2 linked regions of the Tamandua tetradactyla genome follow. The protein of the gene in region 1 purifies or fractionates together with the protein of each later gene. This does not show direct contact. Links are inferred from orthologs where the notes say so. Each region holds a gene or a part of one and is shown on either strand. Other genes may lie near its edges.

What was found.
Region 2: the proteins of KIF23 (region 1) and RACGAP1 purify together in Homo sapiens (co-immunoprecipitation; 10 studies listed by BioGRID and IntAct, counting the BioPlex papers as one, with this or other methods). This does not show direct contact. The link is inferred for Tamandua tetradactyla from reciprocal best matches to the Homo sapiens genes KIF23 and RACGAP1.

What each region holds. Positions count from the first base shown.
Region 1 is NC_135338.1:73,118,533-73,122,283, forward strand, and holds the start of KIF23 (kinesin-like protein KIF23), read right to left. Parts: upstream 2,511-3,751; 5' UTR 2,362-2,510; coding exon 2,351-2,361; intron 801-2,350; coding exon 731-800; intron 1-730.
Region 2 is NC_135333.1:111,047,462-111,051,212, forward strand, and holds the start of RACGAP1 (rac GTPase-activating protein 1), read right to left. Parts: upstream 2,902-3,751; 5' UTR 2,743-2,901; intron 1-2,742.

The DNA of each region.
Region 1 (3,751 bases):
AACTTGCCAGCTTAACCTAAGAGTTACCAACAAATAAAACAGTGCAAGTTTTGAAATTTGTGGTCTCCTTATCAGTGACAGGACGGAAGAAATCCTGGTTCAGCTGTGTACGAAGAACCTGATTCCCTCAACTCTGACCCAGAGACACAGACTAGTGCCAGTGAAAGTTGCTTCAGAGAGGCCCCTTGTCTATTTGACATTTGCTTTTAAAAGCAAGCTCACAAGCCTGAAATTAGTGAAGTACCTGCAATTATGAGTAGGCATTAGACTGAAAAAAGCTATTATATACCAGAATCTGTATAATAATTGGCCCCAAGAAGCAGAGTTTGGAGCTATAGTAATTGATGGCAAATTTAATAAAGAAAGCTACAAACTATACTTATAAGCAGTCCTAAGATGGGAGAGGACGCTCAATCATCCAAGCAGAAAGTTTCCCCCCATTCCAGAGGGTACAAACCAGGTTGAAGAGTATTTTAAATTATCTAATATTTCAGATTATAATTAGTTTTAGGAAGCATGCGATCAACAACTGAAGATTTCATTTTAGTGGACTAATGAATCTCATACAGAAACAAAACTTCACAGCTTAGAACTAGCCTTATGCAATTTAGTACAATCCTTTTAACTAACTAAATGTTCTTTGACTCCACTTCCACATCTTTTCTCCCATTCCTCCCATGAGAGAATTGGGTCGAAGAACGCACATACACAAATCTTAGGGCACCCTTACCCCAACTGGGTCTTTAAGGTTCGTTTGGGATCCTTTCTTCACTAAAGGTTTCCTGGGTGTCTTATTCCTTCTGTCAAAGATAGAAAATGTTTCAATTCAGCACCAACATACAGAAATCTCAGCTTAGTTCATACAAAGACAACCTTCCTAGGGTTTATAAAATTATTTCTTAATATGAATAATAAATTGCAACAGTATAGAAGAATGTTTGTGGTATATATAGTCCAAAAGTAATTAAAATTTGGTTTCAAATACATTTTGGTACCAAATATACCTACTTCCTCTTTGGTTAATTAAAGAGCTTGCATAATTTCTTGAACAATTTTAGAGGTACTACAAATTTGACAAATCTACAGATAACTGACCATATTTATCTGTAAAGGCATTTATACACGTGCACAAGCACATACGGCACAAACAACCATTTGCCACAGAAGACTGACAAGTGGTTAACGTCAATAAATTATTAAAGTGCAGATAGAAGAATCCATTCTTTCATTAAAATCTGTTCATACTTTCAAGGAAGAAATAATCACTGAATTCTCAAAACTACCACCCTTTGTCCCCAAAAGAGTGGTCCGAAATTGCAAATTTCTTCCTCTCTTGATGTAAGGTGAACAGAAGAAGATATTTTCATGTATTTCACCATTTCTCTAGCATGCCACTTTTCCCCTACATTATCTATAGACTAGATGGAAAATTAACCTTAAAATTAAGTGAAATTACTGACTTGGGCTGTAGATTATTAGAAGAGTCTTCTCAAAAATTTCCCAGACGAAGCAGAAGGAAATTAGCCTTTTCAAAGGGTAAAATATTGTGGTAGGCTTACTTAAATTCACCTTTTTTAAGATTTTGACTTTGGTCTCTTAATAAAACAAATTGCCTCTACAAAGGACTAGCTAAAATTATGAATAATTATAAGGCCAACCATCTTCTTTGCATATCAAGTACTTCTGTCTGCAATAAGTGATCAAGAAATTAAGCTCCTCCGAAAATATGTCAGGTACTCAGTGAGGAATGTGGGCGGGTGTCCGTCTACGACCTAAGAATAGGGCAAAAGTGACTAGCCCAAATAAGGTTTTAGCCTCCGCCTTCATGCAACAGAGCTAGACTACGAAAAGCACGCAGAGCTCTATAACGCCAGCGCTCTCCAGGGACTGAGAGCAACTAACCAACACTCGGTGTAACCCGTGAGAAGATCCAGATGACAGTCGCCTCCCGACTCGCACTAACCCTGCAAAATGCAGTGGTGGAGAGAAAACGGGAACCTGAGAAAGGTCTGGCGGAGGCAGGCGCATGACAACACTGCTAACGGGAACCAGGGTCACTACATAACCCACCCACCCACCCCCCAACTTCGGGCTGACTTTCCCGGTGCGGACCGGGCCAGCGGCGTCTGGTTCAGGGGTGGCGGGAGTCTGCGGGACACCGCGGAGAAAGTCTCCCTGCCCGGCCCTCATCCCGAGCAGTCCCACGTGGAGGCTCTCACTTTGGGGGCTGCGGCGGAGCAGCGCGAGGCCTTGGTCCAGACCCTACGGCCCGCATACGGCGTGAGGAGAATCAGGTCCGCGGCTCCCGCCCAGACCTCCCGCCCTCCCTGCTCCGGAGCTGGCAACTCACGCTGGCTTCATGGCAGCAGACTCCGTGCTGCCTTAACGCGCGCGCGGGACGCCGGGCTCGATCTGGCGGGGCTGGAGCAGATTGCGGGCCGCTGGGCCGCTGAACCGCTGGGCCGCACCGCGGGAAAGACACCGCTGCTCAGGCGCAGCGCTCCGTAAAGCCCGACAGCGCCGCTGCGAGCCCAGGTAGGCTCGCGCCCGGCGCATTTCAAACGGACCAATCAGCACCCTCCAGCGGGGACGGGGCGTGGCCGCAGAGGAAGTGACTGGTCTGCCGGAAGTGGCGCTCGTCTCCTGGGCGACCGACGCGGAGAGGTTGATAGTCTAGATGTCGGAGCTGAAGACTGGAGGGGAGAGCTCGGATATTATGAAATCCAACTCCTTCCGATGAGGAAACTGAAGGTTTATTTTCCTACATCACAAGAAGTCCAATGGAAGGGCAATTCCAGGGTTGATTTACAGGTGAGCAACACTCAGAGTGTCCCTCTCTGGCTTCCAGGTAACCACAGCACCTTGGCGTCCTTTCTGATTCCCCGTTCCCGGGTTCTACCACTCTTTCCCATCTGTCTACATTATTTTATCAAATCCTTAATTGTGTTTGATCCGGACAGGGAGAGATAAATAAAATTTGGTCACTGTCCTTAAGGAATAGGTTCTAGTTTTCGATGAATTGAATATATTTCATGTTTTCGGCTTTGGTCTCCAATCCAGTGACTACTAAGTATGCATCTACGTCTGTACTTTTATGGAAATTTAGTCCCTTCTCCTCTACTTTCTACAGGAGCATGGGAATGGAAAGGTTAGACGTAATTTCATACCCTTGACCCATATTGTAGAAAGGTTACCGTTGCTGCTATTACAATATGAGCTACAGTGAATAAACTTGTGAACACATTATTTATACAATGCAAGTATAAAAACATTCCTAGAAGCAAAATTACTTGCTACGTAATATTTCATAGCTAGTGCCCAATTGTCCTCCATAAAGCTTGCCCAAATGTACACTCCCACGAGTCTGTATGAGTGCCTGTTTCTCCATACCTCTCACAACAAAGTGTTATCAAATTTTTAATAGGTATTAACCTAATTGGTGGAGGTGGGGGGAATCACATTATAGTTTATATTTTCATTTCTATTATAATAAATGAGATTGGTGTTCATTTGTATGTGTATGTCATTTGTGTTTTCTTCTTTGTGACATTATGTCCTTTGTGCCATTGTTCTACTAACAATGCTGTTGGTTTTTCTTATTTATTTATAGAACCTCTTCATATATTGTGGAAATTACTTCTCATCCAAAATATGAGTTCAAATATTTTTTCCGGTTCACATTTTATTTTGGTTTGTTTTTAATTTGTTTATATTGTTTTTTTTAACAGCTTGGAAAAAAATTTAACGTAGC
Region 2 (3,751 bases), on another chromosome or scaffold:
TGGTCTAAATCTTCCTGTTGGGTCACATTTTCATCTTCATGAACACTTCTTTATCTCTCCCCCTTTATTATTTAGCTCCATAGCTAGATGATAATGTGAAAGGAAACAAAAAAGTTATATTGTGGTACATTGCTTTGTAGCTGTAAAACAGCTGTTACTTCTCAATACAGAGGCGACTGCCTTTCAGGGAAGCTGAAATGAAATCAGTTTGTGGAACACTTTAAACAAAAAGGTGCTAGAAATCTCAGTTGTTATTGATGGGGAGCCCCAGAGGTGGAGAAGTCACTATATTACAGATTACCAATCTGTGAGTATTCCTAAAGGAGCAATCTGGCAACAGGATGAGTCTCAGCTTGTGGTGATTGCTTTGAGCCCCCAATTTAATTTCAATCACCCAGCCAAGAGACAGACATTGTCCTTCAGAATAACAGACCATTACTCTTACTGCAGGGTATCCTGGGAAAAGTCACCATCCTTTTTCTCCACCCCCTACAAATAACACTATTGACACACTATACATCAGTTATTTTAGATCAACAAGGGTATTAAATAATGTAAGATAAAGTAATGGAAGGTTGCTTGGGTTTTTTCAGGAAAGAACTTTAATGAAAAACATTCTCACAAACACGGCTAAATCTGGAGATTCCCAAGAAATCAACAATACGGGTTTTTTTCTGCTGCAAAGGAAAACCATTCCCAAAAGACATTCTCAATACTATAAGATTCCTTCACATGAAAATATTTCAGAACAATTCTTTTTCCCAAATGTCCAGTTTCTGCCTGGTAAAGGTAAACATATAAACATATGTTCCAAAAGCCTCTATACAATTGGCAGGTAGAAGAAATATCTTAAAACCAAATGTTTTTATGTGCAAATCAACTGCAGAAAGAGTAAACAGAACATCCTCAGGCCAAAACAAATGAAGACTAAAATAAGGGAAGAGATGAATTATTTTTTAGAAAATTATTATCAGTTCAGCATACCAAACTTTCCTGTTTTTCTTGTGAATTCTTCACTTTCTGAAGTCTTCCATTCTTCAAGGTCTAGTATAAATTTTACCAATTCATTAAAGCCCCACCTAACCATTTCAGTCCAAAATGATCTTTTTATTAACTATAATACTCATTTGGCAGATATAAAACACTGCCTCATATTGTTAATTAACCATGTTCAAAAAAATTAATGGATTTTTTAAATAGTTAAACAAAAACTTCACCACTCTAAACCACATGCACACCCCTTCCTAATCTTTGACCAATGTGCACTCATCTCACAGACTTGTAGTCATAGATTAAATATGACTTCGCTTTGCTTTTTCTCTAGTAAGTTCCAAAGAGTTAATGACCAATTATTTGCTTAACCACTCTCTTCTTTGTTCATTTAGGTAATTTCCAGTTTTTCAGTTCTTTCTGCCTGGAATCTCTTGCCATCACCTCCTTCAGGTCTTTATTCAAATCTCACTTTCTCGGTGAGGTCTTCCCTAACCATCTGATTTTAAATTGCAGCCTTTCACCCAAGACTTCCTTGCTTTATTTTGTTCCAAAGCATTTATCTCCACCCAACATCCAATATGTATTTAACTATCTATTTAGTTTATTTGTCTGTCCACGAGAGTTTAAGAAGGAATTTTTGTCTGTTCTGTTCATTGCTGAGCCCTGGTGCCTGCAACAGTATCTGACAGCTGGTAAAATGCTTAATAAATATTTGTTGAATGAATGAATTGAACAGCTCTGTGAATACTACTGTTCTTCAGGTGGCTGTATTCCTTAGAATAAATTTCCAAGGTTTGGATTACTACACCAGAGATAAAAACATGTTACGGCTTCTGATAAAATAATGCCAAAATATTTTCTAAAAAGGTTGTACTAATGTACCGTCCTCTCAACAAGGTATTAGCCTATCATATTCACCACAATCAATTATCTTTTTAGGAGCTATCATCTCACACAAAACACAAGCTTCATTAAGGCAAAATAAAGTTGTCTTGAACTTATTCTTTACCCTTAACAAATACCTGTTGAATGATTAAACTATAGGAAAGGCATTTTTGTCCAAACCCCTTCAATAACTCGAAAAGCTTATTTACCCTACACATTATAAAGAGAGAAAATGCCACTTCTTTTTTCTTTTTTTAAGGCTAATTAATTACCCACCCATCCCGTCTTTCTACATACCTCTCCACCTACGAATGAAATCCTGTAAAAAGGAATTTGCTATAAATGTACTGGAAACTCTAAAAATAGCCTGGAAAGTAAGGGTTCGTCCTTACTGAGGCTAAAAATTAGGATGAGAAGGGTAAGATGTCATTGCCTCGGCCAGCCTACCTAAGACACAGCCCAAAAGGGACAGGGCTAAGGCCCACCCTCATACCTCGAGACCATGCCCGCCTCTCATACACCAAGCCTTTTCCCTTCCACAAATGCCCTCCAAAAAAGGATAAGGGGTGTTACCCCACTCATTCCCAAACTTTGAATTTAAGTGAGAGCCACCTTTTTTGGCGGATCCTGCCCTGTTAAACACACCACTTCAAAAAGACACCCCGGCTTTCCACAAAACGCGGTGCCAAGAAAGAAAGCCCCACTATCCGAGCCCCAGACCTAGCCCCTTCGGCCTGCCTCCGCCCCAGGGAAAGCCCTAATGGAAGGGTTGTAGCTGCCGCCTTCCCTCCAACCCCCTGCAGTAGTCAAGGGTTACCATCTCGGACACTCTCCCTCCTATCACAAATCCAGCGTCAGACGTACCTCTTCTCCGTAGGCCCCAGTGCTCGCTTCGCCCGGGTCCACCGGGGCCTACCCGGGGCAGCCTTCCACTTCCCTACGCTCTGCAACCAACTGCAGAGCAGTAGCGCGCCGCCAGCTCGGGTTTGAAATCCCGCACCAACCAATCACAGAGCAATTTATTCTTCCCACGCTACTCCGTTACGCTAGGACGCACGCACTAGGGTCGCGTGGGGGTGAGACCGGACAGAACTGGGCATGTGCATTCTAGTAGACCGAAGCCACTCAATAGCCATTTTGATTAAGGTCAATGGTACTTTCTGTCGCCCTCTCCTGAAGTCACTCAGGACGCCATGTTGACTAAGGGCAAATGGTATTTCCGAGTGCAAAAAATTTTTGGCGTCGCAGTCTCTCCCAGACCGGGAAATAGGGATTTTTGGAAACTATCAAATGAACAGTATTGGATCTCGAGGTAGAATAGGAAAAATTCCAGGAGATAGAAAAGCGGTCATTTTCAACCGCAGTTACTGAACTGTTATTATCCCTTCATCGATTGATGCAGTCATTCAGGCTTTCATCTAACACATTTATTAAGTGGCAATTTTGTAACAAGTACTCTGCTAAGGATCGGAAAAATAAAGGTCTCTGCTTTATTTCAGTGGCTACGAATGGAGGAGACAGCTGGGGAAACAATACTAAATAACTTTCATTAGAACCTGGCATTGTGCTCCCGCAGACGCTCTCATGCTTTATCATTACTATTATTATTTTTAACTTCAACCCAGTGGGAAATATTTTTCATATTAAGCCAAGTATCACAGAAAACAGAAGGCGATGTACCCCTACTACTTGTAAAATACTTTGAATTTGTATATTCTCTTTTTTCCCCTCTGTTGGTAGTTCCTACTTCATTGCCTTTAATACTCAATAATGAATTGTTACCAGTAATTTGAAAACAATACTGTGCTAGGGCATACAAGAAGCACTGTGGGTTAATGAACAGGGCACAGGTTTAATAACCTGAAAATCTGTC